Lepisosteus oculatus: one gene and its partners. The protein of the gene in region 1 purifies or fractionates together with the protein of each later gene. This does not show direct contact. Links are inferred from orthologs where the notes say so. Each region holds a gene or a part of one and is shown in the gene's direction. Other genes may lie near its edges.

Region 1 (7,370 bases):
AGTGTTCTGCGTTACTGCTAAGTGTTCTCGTTTCCTTTTAACACTTCACACTCAGCAGGCCAGCAGGTGCAGAACAGCCCAGGCTGCACAGTAGCCAGTCAGACTCCCAACCCAAGCCTGAGCTACTCCAGGGTGAGTTTCTAGTTACATGAACTTTTACTGTAGCACGGAGTGCCTGTCGACGTCTCCATCAGGAACCGTCTCTGAACCCCTCCATGGCCACTGGGCTGCAGAAGCATATTAACTGCAGTACATGAAGTAACGTGTATTAATCAGAGTTGCCGTCCCTCCAAATGTTACTGCACTGTGGCCTAATTTAAATTTAAACCCAGAGCAGCCTTGCTGTGGCGACAATCCAGGATGAGTGAGTTGTGTTGCTTCCAGGGAGACCAGACTCGCCAAGACGTTTGGACCAGCAGGGGGCCGACAGTTCTGGCATTCTGGGTCACTAGTTAGTGTCAACAGAGCTACACTCTGTCTCTACAGATTCAAACTTTCAGCCTCAGAGGACACTCAGTCCAGGAGTTTCAAAATCAAGCCGTTAACTGCAGCTGCCCCAGAGACAGGCAGCTGCTTCTAAAGGCATCAGAGTGAAGTGCTGAGGCTGGAGCTGTTCAACCTTTAGCCCTATACTCTGCTCTGGCCTGGCAGGCAGGGGGGCCTGCAAGTCTGGGGTTTGAGCAACACTCTCCAGGCTTAACTCTAGAGGACCAGCAGGCAAGGTGTCTGTCATATTGTGCAGATGAACTTAAGATTCATGTGTCACTTTATTTTTAATTTTTTTTTAATTGCCATGTGCCGTTAATTTTTATTGTACCAAAAGCCTCGATATGATGTGTGTTACCAAGGTGTGGATTGTACCAGTTCTGGGGGCAATACAGAGCAGGAATCTGGATTCCCACTGCACAGTTCAGCAACTGCTGGCTCTTGTATGTAATCCAGCACACAAGAAACAGGACATTTAAAAGTACAAAGTACACTGCTCCGAGTGACTCTATGTGGGCAGGAATGAGCAGGCGACGTGTTCTTTGCTCCACCCGTGTGATCCGATAAGCACCTCGCAAGGCTCCAGCTGCTGTGCAGTGACAGTCCGGGTTCCAGCTCTGGGATCAGAACCAGTTCGGTGAACCGCAGTCCCGGCTCATCAGCCTGCCAGCAATCATCTACAGTATGTGCTCATATCTACTTGTACTGTTGTAACCAATCAGAAGGTAACTGATCAATAAATGGTACGAGAAAGCTGACCCGAGCCGTTTCCTGTGAGTTACTGAGCCCTGCATGAGAGCCTCTGAGCACACAGCTGTGAGGCCAAAAGACTGAGCTGCCTGACAAGAACAGGGTCACGACATGTTGATGGTTTTATTTGTACGATTAAAAAATAAAACACTGCATATAACCACAGTCTACACAGACACTGCTTCCACAGCCTTGTTGTTTTTTACCCTGAGCCTGGGCGAGGGAGACATTCTCTTGTTTCACTGCCATCTGGTGATATTAAACTTTTATCATTCTTTCACTGAAGCTTGTTAAAGTTTTTTGTTGTTTCAGAAAGAAAATTGTTGTTAAATGTCAGTTCCATTCAAATCCATAAAAACTGAGTGCTCCTAGAAAGGTATCGGCAATATTTTCCAGTGCATTTTAATCTCAGAACACTGGTGGCTGCATCCTGGCGCCCTCTAGAGGCCAGCGGTGGTACAGTCCTCCGCATGGAGTGCCCTGGAGCCAGGACCCAGCTCCCCACTGAGATGCCCCTTTCTCTCACTGTGCCACCCCCAGTTCTTTCACTTTACTCTGGTGGCTTTGTTAGCCAAGGTTCAGCTGTCAGTACACCAGCATCCAGCACCAAGAGACACTCCCAGAAAAAACAGTCCAGCTATGGAAGCATTAAAAACAGTTTGGCTACAAATGCCTTCCCCCCCTGCTGGAGCTGGTGATGGAACAGTCTGAAAGATGGTCTGTGTGTAGCCAGTCCACTTGCACCACAGCAGTGTCCCAGGAGCCCCTAGAACTGCAGATTTCCAAAGAGGGAGGGCAGGGTGTTGGGTTTGGGGTGTGGTTTGTACCCAATTCGCTCATTGATCATCTGCTCCCTGGTCTTGCCTTCGGCACCCCCAGCCGTAGCCCCGCCCATGTCCCCGGTGCTGGCCACGCCCACCACATCCACCTCCTCCCGCTGCTTCTTGCGGCTCTGTGGGCGAGGAGGGCAAACAGGCTCTGTCAATTCATTCAAATACAGTAGCGCCATCCGCCGCCTCCGCCCCAGGGAGCCTGCCAGAGCCTCGAGCTTCGCTGCAGCCCTGCGTGCTCGGCCTGCCCGGGCCGAGAGGCTGGGGTCTTGAATAATCAGGCACGTACAGTGACAGAACCACTCACAGGAAAACACATCTCGGAGGGCCTGTTCTTGCCCTTAACGTTATATCCCCACGTCCTCAGGTTCCGGGAGTGTTAGCACAGCAGGCTCCTCCAGCGGCTCTCCTACCTCTAGCTCCTTCTTCACGCTGTCGAACTCCTCGATGTCGTCCAGCTTCAGCTCGATGCGAGTGGGTTTCCTCCGCAGCATGGCGGCCGTGTGGCAGCTCCGGGGACTGGACCCCACCTCCGGCAGCACGGGAACCGGGTCCTGGACACAGGGGCGGCAGGGAGACTTCCACTTAGCAACTAGCAACACCGCGCAAGCCGGTACCACCAGTACCACTCGGGTCTCGCGGTTCGGCGAGAACTGAACTGACAGCTGCTGTAACGCTTGGACGGGTCCTCCGTCAAGGGGCAAAGCTCACAGAATAAAACTTTTTTCTCCCAAACTCTGGGAAACAGGAAACAGGAAGTTTTATCTACTGTCCATCTGTCACATCAGACAGGTTTTTCAGACTCCCATATATTTTATGATAAAAGAATGCAACACACTACTTTTTAGGTGGCACTTGCAGAATGTTTCCTCGACATGATTTTTTTATAATGCAACAGCTGAGGGCCATGCACGCCTTTCTCGTGTAGCTAATACACGTACAGATTGTCTGGTTGTCTGCTGTACTACTGTGTTCCTGAGGTGCGGAGCGGTGGATCTGCGCCTGTGGCTGGGAGGTTGCCGGTTCGTATCCAGCGGCCCGCAGAGGAATCCTACTTCATTGGGCCCCTGAGCAAGGCCCCTGGAGCAAGGCCCCAGCTGCTCCAGGGGCGCCGTATAAATGGCTGACCCTGCGCTCTGACCCCCAGCTTCTCTCCCTGTCTGTGTGTCTCATGGAGAGCAAGCTGTGGTATGCAAAAAGACAAATTCCTGATGCAAGAAATTGTATATGGCCAATAAAGTGATCTTATCTTATTACTTTAATGCACTTTATTGCTTTCAAAACTACTTTATTAATCCTTTAATAATTTCAGAATATATTATACCTAGGGTAGGATTTTAACAGTTATCAAACTGTGCTGTTCAGAACTCAGTAATTAGCCGGCCTATCCTGCATACTGCCTCGCTAACGTATAAACATCGGTGCCTATAAGGGGCAGCACTTGCATTAATCTTAGCCTCTAAATATAATAAAACCAAGTGTTCGTAACATTCATTAACTGAGATAATACTTTGCTACAGGTGGGAATATCTGACGAGGCAGCTCAAACCGAGGTACCTAGCTCTCGCACGGCGCTCTCCGCGGACCGACCAGCCTGCGCTCACTCGTCCCGGACGAACCGGCGTTGCTGCTGAAAACAAAATAAAGACAAAATGAGAAAGGCAGCCGGGCGTCGTCATTCGTGCGGTGAAGAGGCTGCCAGCGGCCCGGCTGCAGAAGCAGGTCTGGAGGACAACAGCAACAGTCAACCAAGTTTCGAAACTTCAAATTACAAGTGTTCCTTCACAGGCCGCCAGGCACGGAATAAACACATTTACAGGAATTGGGACTTCTTCTTATTGCAAACATACAGTAAATAATGGACGTAAAGTAGTCCTAAACCCCACATACCTCCTATATTGTATATAGACCCCGCTGAAATGAACGGTGAACCACAAAAGGAAGCGCACCCCCTGTAGATGGGATTTGTAGTCTAATGAGACTTAATCCAGATTGCTTCCTTTGTACAATGAACTACATCTCCCAGATAGGACTACAGTGAGCCCCTTGTTTCATGAGTTAGCGGTTCATATTGGGGCACATGATGTGTCAGAACAATGCACCATCTCAAGTGATAGATATATCTTCTGTAATATATGTGAGACTAACCGATGGGTGAATTTTACATTTAGTTGGAAAAATATGTTTTGAAATACATTCCTTAAGTCTATTAGGCCTCCCGGCCGACAGAACGCGCTGTCCGTCCGGAATGGGTTGCTACTACAACCAGTGACGCAATTTCCGGCTCCGGTATCGGTTTGTCCGCCTGCCACTGGAGAGCGCTCGTGCAATACTCGCTTCCTCTCGCCAGCATCGCGGTGGTTTCGTCTAGGAGTTCAGGTATTTGTAACTTCAATACATTTTCATAATAGAAGCGATTAATTGGCAGTTTCCGCAGTGTGTGTGGGGTCCACGGTTCCTGGAGCAGAGCTGGGGTCAGGTCTGCAGGGTTGCACACGTGTTTAAGTCCTCAGATCTGCTGCTCCGTCTCAGCGCTGATATCTGTCGCACTGCTGTTCGGAAACACCGCTCCTGGACACAGTAATGATGTGACTTTTCTTCAAGTAGCTTCTCCTCTCTTCGTGATATCCTCAGAGTTGCGTAGAAATATTTGAATTCGTCCTGTTTCCTCGTTGCGCTGCCTGTTTGTGATTCTATGGGAAAGTAGACTTACTTTTATTACATTTCTTAAGGAATTCAACGTTTAATTTGGCTGAACGTGAAAACTAATGCGATCGGTCTTGATGTCTCTGGGCCGACAGTTATTAACCTTTGCTGCCTTGTTTGCAGTCTGGCTCCCACTGCCGTTTAACATAGTTAACTATAAGACTTTCTGATTTCTTAGAAACTTGATTTAAATCCAAGCAGTTATGTTTTACACGCACTTAAAAAATACATTAACAGTACAAATCAACTATACTCAAAATAAACAACGTTATATTAAACGCATCGACTCATGCTGTGCATAGTCCTTACACACCCTTGCTACAGGACCTGTGGACCTGTGAGTTTACGCGGCCACTGTCACCCTAAACACCTATAACAGCACAAAACCCGTTCATTTTGCTGCTTTACATCCTCTCATTTGTTAATAGTGGACAGAAAATGTGATGTGATGTTACAGGTCAGTATTTTGTCCTGATAAGTCTCATGTGAAAGGTATTTCATGACTCTTGGGTCGACAGCGATGTTACAGGTGACCACAGACCTGCTGACTCCCAGTGCCCTGTTCTCAGTGTTCACACAGAGGACACCTCCGGCCTGGGGACCCTTCTCGCCTGTCCTGGGTGAAAGTGTGTTTGTGCGTCTGTGTGTTTGTGTAGCTGTGATCCGGACCCCGCTGTGTGCCGTGCGGAGGGTGCTGTCCAGGAGTTTGGGGAGACGTGCTCTCGACTCTCTTCCTTCTCCCTGTGTCCAGTAAGCGGTCCAGTGGCTCGAGCACGATGTCGGACGAGGAGGACGTGCCCGCGGTGAAGAAGTCGCGCATCTTCTATGGCAGCCTGGAGGAGCGCGAGCGCGAGCGCCTGGGCCGGGGCGATGCGCGCGGCGCCAGCAGGGAGGCCCTGAAGGCCGGCATCGAGGCCGGCAACATCAACATCTGCAGCGGTCAGTGCGCAGTTCAGGCCTACAGCACACAGCACAGCCCCCACTGGGCCGGGGCCTGTAGCTACCGCGTGTCACTGACGCTGTCGGCTGTCTGTGCCAGCGCCCCGAGCGGGGCCCCGCCTGTGTGCCAGCGCCCCGAGCGGGGCCCCGCCTGTGTGCCCGGCGCTGAACGGTGCCCTGTCTGTGTTCAGGCGAGTCTATGGAGCTGGAGGAGCGGGTGAATGAACGTCAGGCAGAAGTCCTGGCAGAGTTTGAGCGCAGGAAGCGTGCTCGGCAGATCAACGTCTCCACTGATGACGCGGAGGTGAAGGCCTGCCTGCGCGCCCTGGGGGAGCCCATCACGCTGTTCGGGGAGGGGCCCGCCGAGCGCCGGGAGAGGTGGGTGCAGCAGGGCAGAGGTCAGCCGAGGGGGGCGCAGTGACGGTGGTGCCAGTCTGCGGGGAGCGTAGCCCCAGAGATCACGGCTGAGCTGAAGCCTCCTCTCTCCTCCAGGCTGCGGAACATCCTGTCGGTGGTGGGAACTGACGCTCTGAAGAAGTCCAAGAAGGAGGACGACAAATCCAAGCGGTCGCAGGACGAGGTACAGGAGCAGCTGGGCAGGACAGGATTCTTTTATTCTTTTCACTCTCTGCTCTTTAGTCTGAATAACCTCCCTCTCTGTCTCTCATGTTCTCAGTTCCAGCAGACCTGGTACCATGAGGGCCCAGGCAGTCTGAAGGAGGCCCGTCTGTGGTTGGCCCGATACTCCCTACCCAGGTGAGAAACTAGGGTGTTTACACTCCTCAGTGGCATCTAATCCTGCTTCTAGATGCACTGCAGCATGAGAGAGTAGCAGGTTGTGTTATACTTAACCTGCACACTAAATACTTTTCATCTAGAAAACTCTTGTTTTATATCTTCTCGTGAGAACTGTTGTGCGCATTGTTGCAGGATGTGCTGATTGTACATGTAGTGCAGCCTGTCTGGGTGTCTCAGGTTGGGCTGGCTGCTGTTAATATAACACTGCTGATTGCTGTCGGAGGCTTTGATTGGAAGCGCACTGGAAGCTCAGCTGTGGAGACATAAAAGAATTCATATCGCCCCCGACCGTGTAGCCCCTCTCTGTCTCGGAGTAGCAGCACCGTCAGCCTCTGGAACTGCATGGCTGCAGTCCAGCATCTTTTATCAGCCTGTTGAAGTGATTCCTGACTGTCTCAGTTTGTCAGTGGCAGTGATTGAGGGGCAGTGGTCTGTCCGGCAGGAGTACTTTGTATTGTACAGCCCCTGACCAGTTAGCGGTGGTCCTGTGGTCGCAGTGTCATGGCTGGCGAGTCTCTGGCGTGGCTGGTGGCAGGGTCACCCCGCTGTGTGCTCTGTGTTCCCAGGACAATGCAGCGGCTGGAGGCAGCACGGGACCAGAAGGAGATCCCAGAATCCACCCGGACCGCGCGGCAGCAGGAGCTCCACAAGTCACTGCGGGTGGGTGGGGCCTGGAAGCCAGGCGGGAGCTGAGGGTGGCAGGTTCACGTTTTTTGGAGGATGTAGCTTTGCGATTCTGGTTTGTGATTTTGTGTTGGGGGAGGGGGGGGTACAAAAGATTTTTTTGAGTTTCCTGATTTTGTTTGATTTTCCTTTAGTAAAGATTTAATACTTGAACAATCAAACTCAAAAACTCGATTT
Region 2 (7,859 bases), on another chromosome or scaffold:
GTGAAGTGTATGCCTTGGGCATAACCAGGCATCAGAAACTCAGGAAGTATTCCTAAAGTGCTTGTACTGGGTAGAAATTCTGGGGCCACACCTTAAAAAATGTCAATTCTTTAAAAAAAACAATAAAACTTACTCTATAAGATGCAGTATGAGGTCACCCACTGTAAAATCTACTCATGAAACACCTATACTGCTAATAGTGGTAGGAACAATGCAGTTTTTGGCATTCTGTCTATAATATATAGCGATGAGTTTCCTCCCATTCACCCTGAATAATGAAAGCAAAATTTATATTGGCTGCAATGTTATGATTCATTCTTCTGTCAAACTTCAGCTAGAACTTTTTTGAGTTTGAGTAATGTTTTATATCCTTATGCGTTTCTTCGTCATTTCAGTAATTAAGGCTGAAATTGGCAGCGCACTAAGCGTCACTTCTAAGATAAAAAATAAATCACTCTCTCCTACTTTAATTGCTTTCCTGAGGGTACTCTATGACCTTGGAGATTGGTGATACACTGTGCTTGTGGCAGAAAGGCTTTTCCATAGCCAAAATGAAGACAAAAAAATATAGTTCTACATTTTTGCTTCGGTATTGACCACTGAGTCAAAGCTAAGATTAGATTGGCTAAACTACAGACAGAAAAGCTGAAATCTAATTAAAATGAAAAGTAGTTTGATTAATTTCAGAATTTGTGAGCAAATGCCTTCAATACCTAGACAAGCCAGATCTAGGTATTGAATACTTCATACTTGTCCAACTAATTTGAATAAACCTGGACAGACAAACTTCTGCTACAGCGGTATAACAAGATCTTGTAGGTCATCTAGGCAGAAGATGAACAAACTGCTAGACACCAGGTGTGTATTATTGCTATGGGTGAATATTCTACCCAGACTTTGGACTCACCTCACAGTTGTGTGCCACATGGAGGCCATCACTGTTGGTACTGAGACCCATGTCACATGACTGAGGGCTAACATTGTGCAACATCCCATACATGGGCAGCAGGAAGGACATCCGCTCCAGGCTCACATCCATGTTGTCTTCACTCTCCTTGCTATCAGACTGCAGTTCATCCTCCACACAGTAGGGGGAGCCCCGACCCATCTCCTCCTCTTCCACCGGCCGATCCCCTTCGTCTTTCTCGAGGCAGTTTATTGGGAGGCATGTCCTGCCCAGCTCGTGGCGCTCGATCACATGGGAACTGATCTTGCTCTTCAGGCTGCTGGTGAACTGGCAGACTCGACACCGGTAGACCTCCACGAGGAACATCTCCACCAGACTGGAAACCTGCCCTTCCACCCCCTCTACCGTGCTGGAGTACAACCTGGAAGTGGTGGTCTCCTCAGGAATGCACAGGGCCACTGGCTGAATATCCTGGTATGCATACTTCAGCTGGCTCATCCTCAGTCAGCAACAGGGAAGGACAACTGCATGCGTGCACAAAAAAAGGCATTCAAATATATTTCCTTCAAGGACACTGGAATACTCTCTCCCCACAGAAAATCTTGACTCCATTACATAGGTCTTCTCATTTGCCTTAATATTCCTTTTTGCTTTCATAACATTGAATTGACAAATTAATGCTCTTTAATCTTAACTGCCTATTGTGTGAGCTACCTAGTGAGCTGAGTGTCCGTGAGACACGACCTCAACAGCTTCTGCTATTGTCAAGGCATACTTTTATACATCATTTGCAACGGCACCACTGAAGAAATTGTCTCAAGGTATGAAAAATAAATGAGAAAACCAAAATGGTTTCGGAAGGAGATTTATTCAAAGATACCACTTTACTGAGATAAGATAAGATCACTTTATTGGCCATATACAATTTCTTGTATTAGGAAATTGTCTTTTCACAGACCCCAACTTGCTCTCCATGAGACACACAGACAGGGAGAGAAGCTTGGGGTCAGAGCGCAGGGTCAGCCATTTATAACCCCTGGAGCAGTTGGGGTTAAGGGCCTTGTTCAGGGGCCCAACGGAGTAGGATTCCTCTGTCGGCCGCAGGATACGAACCGGCAACCTTCCAGCCACAGGCGCAGATCCTTAGCCACAGAGCCACCGCACCGCCCCGACTGAGCAGGTCTATTGTGTTTATAGTTCTGCTTCTCCAATTTCATTTCTCCTGTCCTTGGCCTCCCCATCAAACTTTGTACAGATTAAATCAAAACTCACCTCTTGAGGCAAGTGAAGAGGACCAGTTAAGTGACCACACCTATGGAACTCTATCAGTACATGAGCAGCACATTACAGACACCGAAAAACTGGAATGGTAATGCGTCATTTCAGTGTGCAAATAGAAAAATCATAATCATATTTTCTTTAACTTGTTCAGATATTTTTAAATCACAGGGTGGCCAGCAGCCATATCATCCTGCAACTCACAACTGGCAACCCACTGAAGCTAAGCGGGTGTGAGCCTGGTCAGTACCTGGGAAAGACCTCCTGGGAAAAACTATGGTTGCTGCTGGAAGAGGTGTTAGTGAGGCCAGCAGGTGGCGCTCACCCTGCGGTCCATGTGGGTCCTAATGCCCCAGGATAGTGATAGGGACACTATACTGTAAACAGGCGCCGTCCTTCGGATGAGACGTAAAACCGAGGTCCTGACTCTCTGTGGTCATTAAAAATCCCAGGGCGTTTCTCGAAAAGAGTAGGGGTGTAACCCCGGTATCCTGGCCAAATTTCCCATTGGCCCTTACCAATCATGGCCTCTTAATAATCCTCCTCTGTGAATTGGGTACATTACTCTGCTCTCCTCCCCACTAATAGCTGATGTGTGGTGAGCGTTCTGGCGCACAATGGCTGCCGTCGCATCATCCAGGTGGATGCTGCACATTGGTGGTGGTGGAGGGGTGCCCCCATTACCTGTAAAGCGCTTTGAGTGGAGTGTCCAGAAAAGCGCTATATAAGTATAAGCAATTATTATTATTATTATTATTATTATTAAATATCTCTGATAGCAACATGAAATATGACCACAGGCCAAGTACCACTTTTTCCAATTCATCAATTAAAAAAAATATCTAAGTAATCATCTAAACTGCACTACCACCATAATTAAGTGGACATTATTATGCTAAAGTGTTTTTTTTTCTAAAACTATACTGAAACAAAGGAGAAAACATCCACCGAATACTATGCCTGGGATGGACCAAGATGCACTTGCAAAGCAAAATTGACAGACTGATTACACCGATTTTGAGGGGCCATTTAACTGTATCAAAAGAAAATAACAGTGTCCCACCCCGTTTTACTATTTTTCGTATAAACATAAGGGATTTTTCATTATGACATGCTAAACGATTTGAAGTATTATAGAATGTTATATGTAACAGCATTAAAAGACAGTAATCTCATTTCCTTAAATGATAGCTGTTCTAGGTAACCTGGGCTCGATAATATAAAATAATATAGGTTTTAAGACTTTCTTAAAACTTCACTTCAAAAATATCACATGGATCAAATTCCTAATATCTATTATGAATGCTACTTTTTCTTCCCCATGCAAAGAGATACTTTAGATCGTTCTTTCGTCGCCGTGCAGGTGACAAGATACAGTAATTGAAAGGATGTGCATACAGTACTCAAAACATATTTTCACTAACCGTAAATTCTTTATTCAACACACGAAGTACACCTTTTTAACATAAATGATAATGTGCTGCAAAGCATTTTGTGTACAAGAACTGTGTGTAAACTGATCCGCAGTGTCTTGGAAGCACATATATCTGCGTGTGTTCACGGAGTACTATTCTAGCTGTAATGGCAGTACGAAATCTAAAACTTTTTAAACATAATACACTAATTTAGTTGCGATCACGTGGCATTCTCACCCTATGGCATAACTAAATCTGAGATATTATTTCATCGTTTGTTTTTTCCACTTATATTTCCTTACCTTATGTTCAGACTCCAAAATCACTAGTGCTCCACAGCCATGCTTGTTTCAATAATCTTATTTACTTTTATTTTATATCTTCCAGAGATATAAAGGGAGACCTACACTCCCACTTCCACACCAATTTAAGTCCATATTACTATTATTATTCTTGATTACTTCCAGGAAGTACCGTAGTTTTTATGCGGGCTCCTGGTTCAACCTCAGGGCTCATTTAAAAATGTTCATAACTAGAACGGCACGTAGAGGAATTGACGACGATGAGTATTGTGATTGTTTTGGAAATGTTAGAAAATGTGTGGTTTAGGTGTTTTATGGTGTGTCTCAGTGAGAACAATTAATTCATTATGCCGTTGTTTTCTGAATACTTCAGGTTTATATAAACCCATCTTATGTTTACGTTGTGGTTAAGTTAAACCACAAATATCCACGTGTATTCTAAATATTTTTTACAATTCTTTTAACCAGTTGAGTAAATTGAGAACATGTTCGTACTTACAGTGACGAAAACTACATTATTATATGTATGTATTATTACAGTACTAATAATGTTACATTATTGCTAATATATCTTTAACGCAACTCGATCTTAGACTATAGAGCTAGGGACCCCTCCTGTCCTCTTAAGACTCTACACTGGGTCACGAAAAGGCAACTTTTCAGCTGAAGTCCAGCTGCGGTTTGTATAAGTTTGGAGTCCCGTTTCCGACGCCTGCAAGTTTTCAAGATGATCAGACCCCTCGGGTCACACAGTGGCACCCTGCTCTTTTTATTTTAACTTCCATATAATTATAAAACTTTAACTTAGTATTTGAATGGTGGGCATATTGCGAAGGACTTCGTGAAACGGGGTGTCCCTACTCGAGCTGCGAAGGTTAAATGCACCCTTTTAGAGGGTGACTCACGTTGAGGTGGTAATACCGCGACGCTCCCTTGCTGTAGCTGGTGCGCGGAGTGCGCAGACGCAGTCGCCGCACTCGCTGGTGAAAATGGCCGACATGGAGACGGAGGTGGACGGAAAGAGCTTGGACAGTGGCAAAGAGCTAGAGTAAGAAATAACCATAATATTCTAGTTTTGTACGCTAAAAGAGGACGAAATGCTAAATGCCGGGGTTTTGGTAGGATGGTGACGGTGGTAAAGGTTTTTTTTTCTATGTATACGTGAAGCAGTGGTGTTCACAGACGTGTTGTTGCTTCTTAGTTTTGCGTTTCGTAAGTGCGTGCGAGATGGGGAAACGTGGTGGGGGGGATAGTTCAGTGTTCCCGGTTGAAAACAGCTAACTTTGACTTTGTGTGATAGGGGAAATCGACACGCATTCGCTTTTCGGAAATCGGGATCTTCCGTAAAGCGTGGGAACGGCCATCTGCCACACGGACGAGCTCCAACGGCGAGAACTTGCTTAGAAAACTGAGGCCGGATAGTTGATCCGCCACCCAGCGGGTGTCTGTTCTCGCTGCTGTGTTAGTAACCGTGTTGCTGTGCTGAACAAACAACAGAGCACATCGTGCCTCCATCCGACAAAGTGGCTTCGCGCCCTGCAGCTGGATTCAGCCTTTATTTTTGTTTCGGGCAAATGATTGCTCACGTCTTGCACGCCGACGCGATCTGTGTTTTTTTTTTCAAAAGCAGAAAAAAAAATCGGGGCCTACACTTCGGTCCTCTCCACGTTTTTTTTGGTACTAGAGAGCGTGTTTTGTTTTTGCCGTCCTGTAGGCCGTTTTAACGTAGATGATCACAACTTCCGAAAATCATGGATTTGGTGTTTACGCTTAAAGCATCCCGGAGCTTCTTGTATTATCAAGCCATATCAGTAACATCTCGGGTTTTTAACGATTTATTTAATAATCCAGCGATTGTTTATTAACGCCCGTAAAGCGAATCAAGCCGCAAACTGGTCGGTTCTTCCAGATTGGGGATACTTCTATTGCCTGAACCTAACCAAAAAAACTTTTCGGGAGTTAGATCGTCACTTGCTAACCTTAGCTATGGGTTTCGATTTTGAAAAAAAAACGTCAAAACCTTATCCAGGTGTCTTGCAGACGGTTTTCTTGCCTCAGTTCGTATCTGCAGATCAATGGCCCCGCTCTTCTTTGCAGAAACCTGGACCGATTTATGCAAAACAGAACTAAATGGGTTTCAGTAAAGATCATTTCGATTGTGAATTGATGACAAAGGCGATCTGGGAATGTTCTTTCACCAGGCGCAAATCTGAAAGTTTGATTATTCCTCACCGCTGGTGTTTTGACAAAGTGTGAGGTGTTAGGTTTTTAACAATTGAAACTGTTAAATTAAGGTTTTAATAAAGCAATAATTTGCACCCCGAACCTCAGTCTGACCACTGAAAAGGAGCGATCTTAGTTTCCAAAATCCTCTAGTAATTCAGTTGGGCAGGTTTAGAAAAATACTAAGGAAAAGTGCGCTCTTTTCACGCGTCTTTCACGTGAAGTGACCTTATATACTATCTGTTTGGTTAATTCTTTTTTTTATCATGGTAAGACTGTAATGTAAATAAGTAAATCGTTCAATAAAAATTGATAGGAATACATTTGTAAATGCACGTTTCTGGTTCAAGACCAACAAAGCATGTAACAACAGTATTTCCAAATCCTGCAAAACCTGCTTTATGGTTGGTTAATTTTAAGAAATGAACGTGATCTCGAAATCGCTTAACTTTAAAAAGAGCCACCCAGATTTCGTGACTCAAAAATGACAATATTCTGAAATAGGCGTAATGTATGATTATACATTTCATGGTATAAGCTGAAGACATGCACAGACATTCTCAAGACACTAGTTCCTCCTGAAACTTGTGGACAATTTGAACTTGGGGCTTTTTTAAGTTGGTCTGGTAATTATATCAAAGCCACAAATTGTATTATCCAGTTGTGTTCTAGTATTTTGCTTAACGTACTTGTGGAGTTACACTAAATACACACACAAATGAGTATGATGACATTTATTAGTTGCTATATTCTGGAGGGACTGATCTGTGTAGATCTAGTGCTGTGAAAAAGGATGACTGTAACATAGTAATTGTATATAGTATATTGTGCAGTCTTTCTGTGGTCACAAAAATTATTGGTGCCCTCCATTTGTAGTAAGTGTAATCACTATTTTAATTGACTATCCTGACTATCTTATGTATGTTTATTAAACAGTCATGCGATGAAGTGATAGTTTTCTTTAATAGTGAAATCTCTAGTGTAGAATCTGTGAGGTGGTGTTTTTAGGTTGGGTACTAATGCTCGTTTTGTTAATAAAAACAATTCCTTGCACTTATGTAGCACTTTTCTGGACACTCCACCCAAAGTGCTTACAGGTAATGGGGACTCTCCACCACCACCAATGTGTAGCCCCATCTAGATGATGTAGAAAATGTTCACCCACTGTTTTAATTGACTTTATTAGCCAGTATTCAAGTCTGCAACTATGTGCACTAGCAGATGAACATGGTCTGAAAATGAAATGACGCTCTTCAGAGCAGGAACAATTTAGGAACATGGAGGTTGCAAAAAAGACATTTGTCCCTAGCTAGCAATAGACACCCGCATTCCTCTGGTTCTGTTGTCACGTTTATTAAACGTATTTTAATAGAGAGTGTTTGTAGCAAAAACCAGGATTGATATTGTGTCGCACATTCATTTAAATTGTCTACCTTTTCTTGAAACAAATTCAGAAACGAATCCCATTGGTGAATTTTTTCATCTTCCCCCATTTGCCTTTATAAATTAGAAGTCCGGTCTGGGATTGATTGCCCAGGCGATAACACACAAGGTCTGTCATTACTAGGTTGAGCTTTATTTAAAGGTCATCAAGGGTGTATTTGCCTTGCCACATAAGTAACCCACATGGCTGGCAGGGCAGCCTCAATCCAAACTCTGGTTCTGCTTTTCGCAATAAGAAACAAAAATGGCTCAGGGGCTTCCGAGTGAATTAACTAATAAGCTTCACATTTG
Region 3 (7,452 bases), on another chromosome or scaffold:
TGGAGCTGGGGGCCACAGTCTGGAGAGGAGCTGGAATAGTGGAGCTGGGGGTCTCAGCTCTGGAGTGGAGCTGGGGGTCACAGTCTGGAGAGGAGCTGGAATACTGGGGCAGGGGGTCTCAGCTCTGGAGTAGAGCTGGAATAGTGGAGCTGGGGGTCTCAGCTCTGGAGTGGAGCTGGAATACTGGGGCTGGGGGTCACAGTCTGGAGACTGTAATATACACTGTGCTCTGAAATACTTTTCCAGCATCTCTTCTGTGGTGCAGCCATGGTAATCCAGCCTTTGTGAAAACACTTCTCTCTCTATAAAACAGCACCATTCCTAGATACAGTACCTGACTAGCAGACGTAAGGACAAAGGCTCCCTGCTGTACTCACCAAAGGCATTCTTCGATTCAGACAGCCGCTCTTCATCAGTGGAGTCGATCACGTATATCACCCCATGGGATTCAGCGTAATACTGCACCAGGAGGGAAACAGATCTGAATCAACCCTGAGCAGAGTCTGCATGAACACCTTTCTCCCCCTTTCCCTTTCTTGCAATATGTCTCAGTGTTGAACAGGGATTAATTTTTGCCTCAGTACACAGTGGGAAAAGACTGCAAGACGCGTCAGTAAGGCCACATCTGGCACATGGTGTACAAGTTTGTGTTCCACATTACCAAAAGACATTGCTTCTAGGGAGTTTTCCCAGGAAAGAGTAACCAGGTTAGTTCCTGGTTTTAAAGTAATGTTACACTGGTCTTGAAAAAATGAAATTATGAGGACACTTGATTCATGCATTTAAAATCTTTCAGGTTATTAACTCAAATAATCAAGTTGGAAAAGTGGATACTGAAAGGATGTCCATTCAGTACAAAGTATGGAAGTATTTTTTTCAACAAGTTACCCATTACTGTTGTTATAATGAAGCATCAAATGGTTCCATATGTTCTTATATATAGGTCCTATGACAGCTTCCTTTTGGTAGCAAGGCTCTGGGAGGTGTGCAAAATAAATGACGGTTGTAATTGGGCTCAGGAATTATATATAACACACCCTAATAAAACAAAAACTAAAAAAGTTTTAAATAACATTTAATACCACTGATAACCCTTCAGTGACCTCTAGTGGTCTTAATGGTCACTGCAGGTGTCTCCATGGGATAGCCTACCACAATTGTGAACAGCAGTGCTTCATGCCTCACATTGCAAAGCAACTGATAAATATTTAGGAAGAAGATTCTGTGAATCACAATATGAGCTATTCAGTTGCAGATTTTAGCTATACTATATATTATAGCCAGGGCCGCATGGCAGTGCAGTGGTTGGCATTGCTGTCTCATAACGCTGGTGCCCTGGGTTTTAATTCCGGGCCTGGGGTGCTGTCTGTGTGGGGGTTGTATGGTCTCCTGTGTTTGCGTGGGTTTCCTCTGGGTGCTTCCATCTCCTCCCACAGCTCAAAGAGATGCTGGTAGGTAAACTGGCCCCAGTGTGAGTGTGTGTCTCTACGTGCCCTGTGATGGACTGGCATCCCATTCAGGACGTATCTCGCCCATGGCCCCCCAGCAACCCTGAATTGGATGAGGCAGTTAGACCAGTTCAGGCAACCCCACTGCCTTGCCTTACTTTGTCCCACAGTGACTGCAGCTCGTCTTGACCTCCCAGGTCCCAGAACATGAGGCGCGCCTTGCCCACATCTATTGTGCCAACTGATCAGGAAAAGGGAAGGACACACAGATCAGTCTGATTTTAAAACATTGGCTGTACTGTCTAGATATATAAATATACTGTACAATGTATTTCATACAAAGAGGATCAAAACTTACTGTTCAAGCCCACAGTGGTGGTGATCTTGGACAAACTCATGCCCTTATAATTCTTGCTGAATTTAGTCTTGGTCTGCTCCAGAAATGTCTATAGCAATAAATGGAAACGGATGAAATCACTCAGTTGGCAAAATCTCACTGTCTAATAATACACACACACATATATATATAATGCATTTGCAAGTGTACAATAAGAGAATCACATGCAGGATTTTATATTGCCCATAAATCATACTGTCCATAGGTCTAAAAGGCATTCACTAAATTCACTAAAACAACTTACAGTTTTCCCTGCATTGTCTAAGCCGAGGATCAGAATGCAATATTCATCCTTCTGGAACATGTATTTGTACAGACCCGATAATAAGGTGTACATCCTGGAAAACAACAACCAAAAAAAACAAAACAAAGATCATTTAAAATGCCCATTTGGACTTTAAAAATACACATTAACAGATGCTTGATATTTGAGCAAGATCATACGCATTGCTTGATACTTTAAATCAATGCAGAGTAAAGATGTAGAGAAACGAGCCAGTTAATACATAGACAGGTAGGTGTAGATAGATCCACAAGGTAGGTGAAGAAGTCCTTTTTGGATAAGAAATCATGTGCGAGATAGGATTTATTGTAGTGAGAAATTTACCTTTTTTCCCCCAAAAAGCACAAAACCAAGTTTGCTAGCTAGCAGAAAGTAACTTGGTAAGTGTGGCTAATGACAGCCTTCTTACACAGAGCACAAACAGGATGGGAGACATGTGTTGAACTAGTCTTTCCAAACAATCAAGTCATAATATGGTATTCTTTGAAGAAAGTTCAGGTGGGCAGCTGCATCAGCATGCGTAGGCTGCAAAGGAACAAGTAAAAAGTTTATTCCATGCTGAAAAGAGAAGAAAGAAAACACAACAAATGAAGAAATGAAGAAATGGTGACATGGACTCACAGTGGTTACCACTGCAGCCTCAAAGCGCTGGGGTCTAATTTATAACAATGATCTAGATTCCGGCACAGTTAGTACCAAAGTCTGAAGATTATTTCAAAATAGGAGGATTACCAAACCAAATTGAAGATGAAAACACAAAACAGGAAGATTCTGATAAAATGCTCAACTCGGAAACATCCTGTCCTATGATGTTTAATCTAGACAAGTGCATATTATTACATGCCGAAAGTAAAAATGCAGTATAGATACAAAGTGAGGAACAACGGACTTGAAAAAGCTAAAGAGAAAGTGTTTGTTGACATTTGTATCTCCAGTTACAGTGGGCAAGCAATAAAAAGGTCAACAGAATATGAGGGGGAAATTATTAAAATTTCAGGATTTAAATCGAGGGATGATATGTCAAAACTATGCAATGCACAAGTAAGACCTCACTTAGAACACTGCATGATGGTCACCATGTGACTAGAAGTCTAGTGCGCTTCTGAAAATGTTCTAGAAAAAAGAGCAACCAGGTTCATTCACATTAAAAGGATGCCCTACATTTTCGGGACAAAGTGCTGAACCTTTTTAGTCTCAAAGGCAGATGACAATGAGGGGGACCTGATTTCAGCCTTCAAAATCCTCAAAGACATTGGCAGTGTCAGCCCAGTGTATTTCTTCACAATAAACAGAGAAAGACAACCCAGAAGTTACAAGAGGAAACTAGATTGGAGAACTTTTAAAACTGAGAACAGGATACACTTTATGGAAGGGCCATTATATGTATTATTTTATAGAGTTGATAATGTTATTATTATTATAACTATTACGTTATAACTATAATAAATATTATAATGTATACTCCGGCCTCATCAGGGAACGACTGGATGAGAACCCAGGATCAATAGCTTCTAGTTACCAAACGGGCGAAATGAGAAGAATCGTGACGTTAGTTCCGTGCTTCTGATTATATCTCGGCTAATGTTTACCTTTGTGTCTGGGATCGCCCGCACTTTACTTGCTGTTTAAGGTCTTAATAATCCAGCTGAGATGGAATTGAGATGATAGATTTCACTTTATAAAACCGTACAAAGGCGAATAGCTTACACACTCTCAGGTTAATATAATTGTAAATGCTAGTTCTTTTGTATTGGGGTGGATGTATTTAAAAGTGCGCTGTTAGAGATGACTGGTATTCCATCTAATTTTACTTAGGACTAAAATCCTTGTATACAGTACTGTCAAAATAATGAGCTCAATTACATTATAAAACAAACAAAACCAACTGGTTTGCAGCAGTACAAACCACAGGCTATAACTATTAACTCTGAATCAACATCCCTGTAAAATAATAATTTCTCTAATCCGTCGCTCTTTTCCTTTTTTGTTACCATCCTTAGATGTTAAAATAACCATACATGCATTTGAAAACTGCTCTTATAACACATTTCCTTGAACTTACCTTTCATTTGCGACCAAGTCATCATCCGTAAATAGGAAGTGCTTACCGACTGGCAATGCACTGTAGGAATTGATGTTTTTTGTTGGTTTCACCCCCATGGCTGCTGAACGGATGTCCTGAGCTTGAAAACTACAAATCCCAGGATACCATTGGAAAGGAAAAGGCCGGCGTGTAGTTTGCAGTGGTTACTGGGAATTTACGTTTTCACTGGTGCTTCTAAAACTGTAGATGTGGTCCAAATACACTACAATACCCACAATTCACAAATATACTCTAATAACTTCCTCTCAAAAATGGAAGGATATCAAATTGTCATTTAAATGGTGACTGCAATATCAGAACCGGTAAATGTAAGGTTACATTGCTTTTCTTATACTACATACCTATCAGTAATGCAGGATTTCTGTATGGAAGATTGTTAGCAACAGTTAGCAACTGAGCAACAATTTTTTTTATTTTTGTATTCCAGTTTATATATTTTGCGATTATACATCCTGATCAGTAGTTACCGTAAATATATTTAAAGGCATCAAACGCAAGAGATAAACATAGTTTTGGTATAAGTAACAAATCTGTGTTTTTAAGGCTCTCTTTGTATGTATCATTTAGTTCTTCGTGAATAAACGATTAAAAGTAAACAGTATTTTAAGAAATAATTTCTGGTTTAATATTTGTCTCCGTTACATGTTATAGATGTTATAAATGTTATTTTTCGTATGTGTAATTAAATTACTAAAGATATTGCTTTACAATTACACATTTTTGAACGGCGCCTTAATTAAAACTAGCAAAATACTTTTAAAATCAAAGCAATTGCTTTAAAGTAGCAATAAATAGCACTTATTGCATGGATTGCTTATCTCAGTGTTAAAGCATTTTCAGAGACAAATACGCTAGTTTTAGTACCCAATTTTTTACCTAGTTTAAACAGAGGTTCATACGGACGTCTGTGAAATGTTGACATCAGAAACCTGCAACTTAAGATGTGAAATCGATCGTTTCGTCTCTGGGATGCGTGACAGGTCTCATCTCCGTGTTAATTTATTCGGAAAATTTTATTGCTTTATTCTTGCGCTGAAGGCTAAATTGTCGGATTTCTCATTCTTCCAGCTTGCATCCCGGAGTAGATTGCCCAAGGGATTTGGAAATATCAGCTTCGGGAAAGCTTGGTCAGTTTGAGACAAAGGAGAAGAAGCAATCTCATAAAGGTATTTATGGGAGAGGCAGCAAGTGATTGGATTTCCTCTACTTTGAACATACTGACTCAAGCTTTTCCGCATGACTGTATTAAGACGAATGCTCGCCTGCTGTGTGCAGGGTGCCTCAAAGTGCAGGGATAATCACGGTTTTCCGTAGTTTGAACAGGAGAAACAGTTGGAGGAGGGAGAAACACATCTCCAGGTTAAAGCGTTTGACCTCTCCTCTTCCTCGCCAGACCGATTCCTGAATGCCGGCCTGTCCCCCCGGTCGTGATGGACGAAGGTAGCTTGGAGGCGGCCATCGAGACTTACCATGCCCAGCTCCAGCAGGTGGAGACGGCCCTGGGCGCCGGGCTGGAGCCCTCCCAGCAGTCCGACCTCCTGCAGCTGAAGGAGGACCTGCTCCAGCTGATCGAGCTCACCGAGGCCAGCCTGGTGTCCGTGAAGAAGAGCCGGCTGCTGGCCAGCCTGGAGGGCTCGTCGGCCTGGCCGGCGGAGCCCCCCGCGGGGCAGCCGCCGGCGGGGGACCCCGGCATGCGGGACGAGTTCGCTGCGTTTTACGCGGCGGTGAGCGAGCCGTCCTGCGCCGAGCCTTCCACCAGCGAGAGCGCCCCTGCGGCCCAGAGATCTGGAGGAGGATCCGGCAGCCCCGGATCTCAGCAGGCAGCTGAGGAAGAGGAAGAGGAGGAGGAGGAGGAGGATGTGATGAGTGGCATGAAGGTCTGTGCCCCTTACCGCACCTCCTGGGGAACGCTGGAGTACCACAACGCCATGGTGGTGGGCACAGAGGACTCGGAAGATGATGACCCGCAGGTCCGGGTTCTGTATGTCCACCCGACCCAGAAGTCCATGAAGCCCTGCCCCTTCTTCCTGGAGGACAAGTGTCGCTTCATGGACAGCTGCAGGTGAGGAGCTGCAGATTGCCACTGGGAAACTGCATCTGTTCCCCTCTGGATGGGTTCAGAGGCAGACTCGCACAACCATTGTACCCCTGAAGCTGAAAATATGATGGAATGCATTGCAGTTGTTTTAGCTCTTGCATACCTTTCTGTGATTTATTCCAAAGAATTCAAATTAAAAAATACACAGCACCTCCTTCTTTATAACACACTGGATTCTTTATAGCTTCTTGGCTGCTATGTAACACAGACAAAAAGAAACATATCCTAAAATAATGAAGCATGTTCACTCGGAGATAAGATCGCTTTATTGGCCATATACAATTTCTTGCACTAGGAATTTGTCTTTTCACATACCCCAACTTGCTCTCCATGAGACCCACAGACAGGGAGAGAAGCTTGGGGTTAGAGCGCAGGGTCAGCCACTTATACGGCACCCCTGGAGCCGTTGGGGTTAAGGGCCTTGCTCAGGGGCCCAACGGAATAGGGTTCCTCTGCCGGCCGCGGGATTTGAACCGGCAACCACTGACGTGGATTGAAGTTGGGGTTAAAGCTGCACGCTGACCCCTGTGATTGCCGTGCCTTTAGACAGAACCGTTGTTTATAAATGGAGCAAAGCCGTTGTGATTCGGCTGCTCTGAGCCGGCGCTCCGGATCGAATCGGAATTGGAGTGCCCGCGATACCGAGCATTCCCGTCCGTTCCCACACTGTCGTGAATCTCTCCCCGAGTTCGTCCTTTTCGCCTCCTTCAGGTTCTCCCACGGAGAAGTGGTGTTGGTGTCCGAGCTGCGGCCTTTCCAGGAATCGGACCTCAGCTCACTCCAGGAGGGCTCAGCCTGTTTAGCCAGGCATGAGGATGGCATCTGGTACCCGGCCAAAATTACAGGTTTGTGGTGATCGCTCATAGGCCCTGAACGCACGTGAGGTACTCATGAAGTCGTCCGCACAGTGGACTGGCCAGCTTGCACTCATCATTGTTTGTCCAGCCATTCTGAAACATACATTCAGGTAACAATTTCAAAAAATGAGACAACACAGCAATATTGAGCAGTGTTGGCATCTAACAGCAGCATGCAACGGCCTAATCTCACCAAAGCCTTCTTTGAAGGGCTCTCAGGGTTTGGTGGATTGTCCACAAATCTAAGTCTTTTCCCCGTGTGGCC
Region 4 (7,107 bases), on another chromosome or scaffold:
TATTATTATTGAGAGACAGGCTCACTGTCTGTTACTCAGGCTGGGACAGGAGATCACACACTGTATTATTATTGAGAGACAGGCTCACTGTCTGTTCCTCAGGCTGGGACAGGAGATCACACACTGTATTATTATTACTGAGAGACAGGCTCACTGTCTGTTCTTCGGGCAGGGACAGGAGATCACACGCTGTATTATTATTATTGAGAGACAGGCTCACTGTCTGTTCCTCAGGCTGGGACAGGAGATCACACACTGTGTTATTATTATTGAGAGACAGGCTCACTGTCTGTTCCTCAGGCTGGGACAGGAGATCACACACTGTATTATTATTATTGAGAGACGGGCTCACTGTCTGTTCCTCAGGCTGGGACAGGAGATCACACACTGTATTATTATTACTGAGAGACAGGCTCACTGTCTGTTCCTCAGGCTGGGACAGGAGATCACACACTGTATTATTATTATTGAGAGACAGGCTCACTGTCTGTTCCTCAGGCTGGGACAGGAGATCACACACTGTATTATTATTACTGAGAGACGGGCTCACTGTCTGTTCCTCAGGCTGGGACAGGAGATCACACACTGTGTTATTATTATTGAGAGACAGGCTCACTGTCTGTTCCTCAGGCTGGGACAGGAGATCACACACTGTGTTATTATTATTGAGAGACAGGCTCACTGTCTGTTCCTCAGGCTGGGACAGGAGATCACACACTGTATTATTATTATTGAGAGACAGGCTCACTGTCTGTTCCTCAGGCTGGGACAGGAGATCACACACTGTATTATTATTATTGAGAGACAGGCTCACTGTCTGTTCCTCAGGCTGGGACAGGAGATCACACACTGTATTATTATTGAGAGACAGGCTCACTGTCTGTTCCTCAGGCTGGGACAGGAGATCACACACTGTATTATTATTACTGAGAGACGGGCTCACTGTCTGTTCCTCAGGCTGGGACAGGAGATCACACACTGTATTATTATTATTGAGAGACAGGCTCACTGTCTGTTCCTCAGGCTGGGACAGGAGATCACACACTGTATTATTATTATTGAGAGACAGGCTCACTGTCTGTTCCTCAGGCTGGGACAGGAGATCACACGACAGGCTCACTGTCTGTTCCTCAGGCTGGGACAGGAGATCACACACTGTATTATTATTATTGAGAGACGGGCTCACTGTCTGTTCCTCAGGCTGGGACAGGAGATCACACACTGTATTATTATTATTGAGAGACGGGCTCACTGTCTGTTCCTCAGGCTGGGACAGGAGATCACACACTGTATTATTATTGAGAGACAGGCTCACTGTCTGTTACTCAGGCTGGGACAGGAGATCACACACTGTATTATTATTGAGAGACAGGCTCACTGTCTGTTCCTCAGGCTGGGACAGGAGATCACACACTGTATTATTATTACTGAGAGACGGGCTCACTGTCTGTTCCTCAGGCTGGGACAGGAGATCACACACTGTATTATTATTATTGAGAGACAGGCTCACTGTCTGTTACTCAGGCTGGGACAGGAGATCACACACTGTATTATTATTGAGAGACAGGCTCACTGTCTGTTCCTCAGGCTGGGACAGGAGATCACACACTGTATTATTATTACTGAGAGACAGGCTCACTGTCTGTTCTTCGGGCAGGGACAGGAGATCACACGCTGTATTATTATTATTGAGAGACAGGCTCACTGTCTGTTCCTCAGGCTGGGACAGGAGATCACACACTGTGTTATTATTATTGAGAGACAGGCTCACTGTCTGTTCCTCAGGCTGGGACAGGAGATCACACACTGTATTATTATTATTGAGAGACGGGCTCACTGTCTGTTCCTCAGGCTGGGACAGGAGATCACACACTGTATTATTATTACTGAGAGACAGGCTCACTGTCTGTTCCTCAGGCTGGGACAGGAGATCACACACTGTATTATTATTATTGAGAGACAGGCTCACTGTCTGTTCCTCAGGCTGGGACAGGAGATCACACACTGTATTATTATTATTGAGAGACAGGCTCACTGTCTGTTCCTCGGGCAGGGACAGGAGATCACACGCTGTATTATTATTATTGAGAGACAGGCTCACTGTCTGTTCCTCAGGCTGGGACAGGAGATCACACACTGTATTATTATTATTATTGAGAGACAGGCTCACTGTTCCACAGGCTGGGACAGGAGATCACACACTGTATTATTATTATTGAGAGACAGGCTCACTGTCTGTTCCTCAGGCTGTGACAGGAAATCACACACTGTATTATTATTGTTAATATTAGAATTGAGGGACACTGTACAGTCAGGGGGCCATCTACAGTCTCTCGTGTGAGGAGTCTGTCTTGTCACAGATCCCAGCCTGCCCTCCAGGAGACACACACACACACACAGGGAGAGCAGCTGGGGGTCAGGCCCTGGCTCACGGGCCCAATGGAGTAGGATTCCTCTGCGGCCGCAGGATTCGAACCAGTAACCCCCAGCCACAGGCACAGATCTTGAGCTCCAGAGCCACCACACCATCCCGCCCCAATACAACGCCTTCCTTCGAGCAGTCAGTGGTACAATCTGGGGTACAGTCTGGGGTTCAGTCTGAGTTATAGTCTGTAATGAAGCAGTGCAGTCTGGGGTACAGTCTGGGGTACAGACTGGGGTACAGTCTGAGGTACAGTCAGGGGTACAGACTGAGGTTCAGTGTGGGGTACAGTCTGGAATACAGTCTGAGGTACAGTCAGGGGTACAGACTGGGGTACAGTCTGAGGTACAGTCAGGGGTACAGTCTGGGGTACAGTCTGGGGTACAGTGTGGGGTACAGACTGGGGTATAGTCAGGGGTACAGACTGGGGTACAGTTGGAGGTACAGTCAGGGGTACAGTCAGGTTGTGGAGTCTTCCCTGGGAGTGCAGGACACACTCTTCAGGACACACCTGGAGAAGACCCTGCAGCCGAAACGCTGTGTTTTCTCTCTTCTCTCCTCAGCAGGATTGTGGGAATGGGAAGGCAGAAGCCAGAAATGTATTTTGGTTCTGTCCTGTTTGCTCGTGGCTATGACTGTGATGAGGCAGCGGAGCACTTTGAGTGACACACTGCTCCAGCTGCGGTGTTCAAGGGAACGTTTCCGCAGGTCCTTCCTCCCGGCATATACCCATGCACATTTTGCACATCTTTTATTGTTTGACAGTGACTATGAGCATATTTTGCTTACTCTATTTATTTGATTTTGTATTGCTGTACTTGTTTTAATTTTCCGTCTAGTCCGATGTCTGTTCTTGCTCGTCTTGGGCTGGGCTGCTGTAACGCCTCAGTTTCCCTTCGGGATCAATAACTCATCTCGTCTAATCTCTCTATTGTAAAAACCTTCTGGACTGATTTGCAAACTTATATAAAAAAGAGGCGAATATTAATCATATTTAAGGAAACAGACGTGATGTTGAACTTCAATCCCATTGGAACTAAACGAAAATATATTTTGTAATTGACGATTATTATACCGGGACGTTATTCTACTCAGGAAGAGTCCTGTGTCTGAACATAGATGTGAGGGCGTATTTGTAGACTGTTTCGAAATGTGAAAACATGAAAGCGGTGCGGACCTTATCTCTATTTACTCTGTTTAAACGATGTTATCGATATGTTTTACGAACTCTTGTTTATACTGTATTTCCTTTTGTTGTTTAAATACAAAAAAGACTGTGGATCGGGGCTCAGACACGATGCTGTAAGATCTGTATCTTTTCCCAGATCGATGAGCACCAATGAGTCTTTTTTACTGGGGTTACTGGTAATCTCTCTTGAGCGGGCCGCGTCGTGCCTCGAGTCTGAGGCGAAAACGTCACTGTTATGATAAGAGCTAAATTTTGTGAGTTTGACATATGTTTGTAAAATATTTTAAAATATTTTATTTAAACACCAGAAATACAAAAAATGAGACAGAATAATGAAATATATACAGAAATAGACACTTCAAAGCCAGAGGAATCCACAGTTGTAAAAACTAAAAATTATACTTATTAGATATATCTTTTACAAAGGTCTGGCACGGCCGGATCGACATGACGTCAATAATCTGCGACTGTTCCCGTTCTTCTCAAAGGAAGGAGGTTACTTCCTCCCTCGGCGGCGCTGTTTATCTACGTCACTTCCTCTTGTTTGCGCATTGTGGCGCTGTAATAATTCACGTCGTGAGCACAGCTGTAAAATAAAGGTAAATAATATTACATATCAGTACTAATGATAAGCACAATCGTACGGAATTCTCATTGGGTCTGTCCTCATGTTTTTTTCTGTTTGGTGCTGTGAAAGTAACTCTGGATAGTAATACTGTTGGAGCTGTGTGATCATCTCCAGTAAATACTGGAGAGATTCAGAAATTAAAGAGACCTACTGTCACTTCAAAGTACACTTGTCTGTTGGGATTACATTCAGATTGTTATTCTGTGGTTAATCATGTTATTGAATCGTTAAATCAGTCAGTGCGTCTGTATTAACCCCTCTTTCTCTCCCAGTGCAGTGTTAATGTACTGGAGTGTCCAGTCAGTGTGTCTGTATGAACCCCTCTCTCTCTCAGTGCAGTGTTAATGTACTGGAGTGTCCAGTCAGTGTGTCTGTATGAACCCCTCTCTCTCAGTGCAGTGTTAATGTACTGGAGTGTCCAGTCAGTGTGTGTGTATTAACCCCTCTCTCTCAGTGCAGTGTTAATGTACTGGAGTGTCCAGTCAGTGTGTGTGTATTAACCCCTCTCTCTCTCAGTGCAGTGTTCATGTACTGGAGTGTCCAGTAAGTGTGTCTGTATTAACCCCTCTCTCTCTCAGTGCAGTGTTAATGTACTGGAGTGTCCAGTCAGTGTGTGTGTATGAACCCCTCTCTCTCTCAGTGCAGTGTTAATGTACTGGAGTGTCCAGTCAGTGTGTCTGTATTAACCCCTCTCTGCCTTATTCCTCTGTCTCCCTCAGGATGTCGAAGCGCAGGGTGATGTTTGAGGATGAGAATGGAGAGTACAGTCTGGAGAATGACCCTCCAAATAAGAAGGTTCAGTACTCTTTCTCAGCAGAAATACCATATGGTTAATACAGTCCTGAGTAGAGACCCTGTCTGGAGGGTATGAGACTGTATGTGAACACAGTACTGAGTGTGACAGTTTCTCGCTCTCTCTGCGGGTGTGTGTCTGTGTGTTTGTCTCTCTCTGCGGGTGTGTGACTGTGTGTCTCTCTCTCTCTGCGGGTGTGTGTCTGTGTGTCTCTCTCTCTCTGCGGGTGTGTGACTGTGTGTCTCTCTCTCTGCGCGGGTGTGTAACTGTGTGTCTCTCTCTTTCTGCGGGTGTGTGACAGTTTTTGTCTCTCTTTCTGCGGGTGTAACAGTGTGTGTGATTCTCTCTCTCCCTGCTGCAGGTGTGTGACAATGTCAGTGGCCCTGGCTCCAGGTTCAAGGGTAAACATTCCCTGGACAGTGATGAGGAGGAAGAGGAAGAGGGACAGAAGTATGACATGCTGGCCAGTGACGATGTGGAGGGTACTGTCTCACTCTGTCGTCGCCGTGTGAGTGCGGCTCACTCTGTCTGCTCTCTCACTCCCCCGCTGTCTCCCCTGTGCAGGCCAGGAATCGGCGACCCTGGACTTTGACGAGGGGGTGCGCATCACGCCCTTTAACCTGGAAGAGGAAATGCAGGAGGGACACTTTGATTCGGAGGGAAACTACTTCCTCAACAAGGAGCAGCAGATTCGAGACAACTGGCTGGACAACATCGACTGGGTGAGACTGGAGCTGGTCACACCACAGCCGGGCCAGACCGTAGCACTGGGTCACACCACAACCGGGCCAGGCCGTAGCACTGGGTCACACTGGAACCAGGCCAGACTATAGCACTGGGTCACACCACAACTGGGCCAGGCCGTAGCACTGGGTCACACCACAGCTGGGCCAGGCAGTAGCACTGGGTCACACTGGAACCAGGCCAGACTATAGCACTGGGTCACACTGGAACCAGGCCAGGCCGTAGCACTGGGTCACACCACAGCTGGGCCAGGCAGTAGCACTGGGTCACACTGGAACCAGGCCAGACTATAGCACTGGGTCACACCACAACCGGGCCAGGCCGTAGCACTGGGTCACACCACAGCTGGGCCAGGCAGTAGCACTGGGTCACACTGGAACCAGGCCAGACTATAGCACTGGGTCACACTGGAACCAGGCCAGGCCGTAGCACTGGGTCACACCACAGCTGGGCCAGGCCGTAGCACTGGGTCACACTGGAACCAGGCCAGACTATAGCACTGGGTCACACCACAACTGGGCCAGGCCGTAGCACTGGGTCACACCACAGCTGGGCCAGGCAGTAGCACTGGGTCACACTGGAACCAGGCCAGACTATAGCACTGGGTCACACTGGAACCAGGCCAGGCCGTAGCACTGGGTCACACCACAGCTGGGCCAGGCAGTAGCACTGGGTCACACTGGAACCAGGCCAGACTATAGCACTGGGTCACACCACAACCGGGCCAGGCCGTAGCACTGGGTCACACCACAGCTGGGCCAGGCAGTAGCACTGGGTCACACTGGAACCAGGCCAGACTATAGCACTGGGTCACACTGGAACCAGGCCAGGCCGTAGCACTGGGTCACACCACAGCTGGGCCAGGCCGTAGCACTGGGTCACACTGGAACCAGGCCAGACTATAGCACTGGGTCACACCACAACTGGGCCAGATCTTAAAACTGGATTATAGCAGGTCAGACTGTAGACCAGGTCACACTGGACCTGGGTGGTACTGGGGGGTGCGTCTTCTGGTGTGAGTGTGTGTCTTCTGCAGGTGAGAGGGGGCGGAGGGACGGGCTCGGTAGGTGTGGGTGTGAGGGGCGGGGTCTGTAGGTGTGGGCGTGAGGGGCGGGGTCTCGTGTGGGCGTGAGGGGCGGGGTCTCGTGTGGGTGTGAGGGGCGGGGTCTCGTGTGGGTGTGAGGGGCGGGGTCTCGTGTGGGCGTGATGGGCGGGGTCTCGTGTGGGCGTTCAGGGGCGGGGTCTTCTGCAGGTGAAGGAGTGGGCTTGTATTCCAATGAGGGTGAAACTCCTCTAGTACACCGTACGTACACGAGAGAGAATCTGGAATG

Evidence for each region.
Region 2: the proteins of prpf4 (region 1) and serine/threonine-protein kinase PRP4 homolog purify together in Homo sapiens (affinity purification with mass spectrometry; 3 studies listed by BioGRID and IntAct, with this or other methods). This does not show direct contact. The link is inferred for Lepisosteus oculatus from reciprocal best matches to the Homo sapiens genes PRPF4 and PRP4K.
Region 3: the proteins of prpf4 (region 1) and zgpat purify together in Homo sapiens (affinity purification with mass spectrometry; 4 studies listed by BioGRID and IntAct, counting the BioPlex papers as one, with this or other methods). This does not show direct contact. The link is inferred for Lepisosteus oculatus from reciprocal best matches to the Homo sapiens genes PRPF4 and ZGPAT.
Region 4: the proteins of prpf4 (region 1) and cd2bp2 purify together in Homo sapiens (affinity purification with mass spectrometry; 3 studies listed by BioGRID and IntAct, with this or other methods). This does not show direct contact. The link is inferred for Lepisosteus oculatus from reciprocal best matches to the Homo sapiens genes PRPF4 and CD2BP2.

The regions. Positions count from the first base shown.
Region 1 is NC_090719.1:267,754-275,123, forward strand, and holds the start of prpf4 (U4/U6 small nuclear ribonucleoprotein Prp4), read left to right. Parts: upstream 1-4,361; 5' UTR 4,362-4,445; intron 4,446-4,502; exon of another isoform or gene 4,503-4,646; intron 4,647-5,428; exon of another isoform or gene 5,429-5,523; 5' UTR 5,524-5,548; coding exon 5,549-5,711; intron 5,712-5,902; coding exon 5,903-6,089; intron 6,090-6,203; coding exon 6,204-6,291; intron 6,292-6,387; coding exon 6,388-6,467; intron 6,468-7,075; coding exon 7,076-7,169; intron 7,170-7,370. Other genes in the region: anaphase-promoting complex subunit CDC26, read right to left, coding at 2,003-2,188, 2,480-2,560. UniProt on the Homo sapiens protein: Plays a role in pre-mRNA splicing as component of the U4/U6-U5 tri-snRNP complex that is involved in spliceosome assembly, and as component of the precatalytic spliceosome (spliceosome B complex).
Region 2 is NC_090701.1:15,686,130-15,693,988, forward strand, and holds the start of serine/threonine-protein kinase PRP4 homolog, read left to right. Parts: upstream 1-4,840; 5' UTR 4,841-4,891; coding exon 4,892-4,950; intron 4,951-7,859. Other genes in the region: oocyte zinc finger protein XlCOF6, read right to left, coding at 908-1,405. UniProt on the Homo sapiens protein: Serine/threonine kinase involved in spliceosomal assembly as well as mitosis and signaling regulation. Connects chromatin mediated regulation of transcription and pre-mRNA splicing.
Region 3 is NC_090711.1:13,476,168-13,483,619, forward strand, and holds the start of zgpat (zinc finger CCCH-type with G patch domain-containing protein), read left to right. Parts: upstream 1-4,432; 5' UTR 4,433-4,540; intron 4,541-5,300; exon of another isoform or gene 5,301-5,398; intron 5,399-5,625; 5' UTR 5,626-5,662; coding exon 5,663-6,294; intron 6,295-7,041; coding exon 7,042-7,175; intron 7,176-7,452. Other genes in the region: arfrp1 (ADP-ribosylation factor-related protein 1), read right to left, coding at 378-459, 1,607-1,689, 1,807-1,894, 2,090-2,183, 4,191-4,288. UniProt on the Homo sapiens protein: Transcription repressor that specifically binds the 5'-GGAG[GA]A[GA]A-3' consensus sequence. Represses transcription by recruiting the chromatin multiprotein complex NuRD to target promoters.
Region 4 is NC_090699.1:1,139,926-1,147,032, reverse strand, and holds the start of cd2bp2 (CD2 antigen cytoplasmic tail-binding protein 2), read left to right. Parts: upstream 1-4,101; 5' UTR 4,102-4,210; intron 4,211-4,958; 5' UTR 4,959-4,959; coding exon 4,960-5,034; intron 5,035-5,393; coding exon 5,394-5,514; intron 5,515-5,596; coding exon 5,597-5,754; intron 5,755-7,107. UniProt on the Homo sapiens protein: Involved in pre-mRNA splicing as component of the U5 snRNP complex that is involved in spliceosome assembly.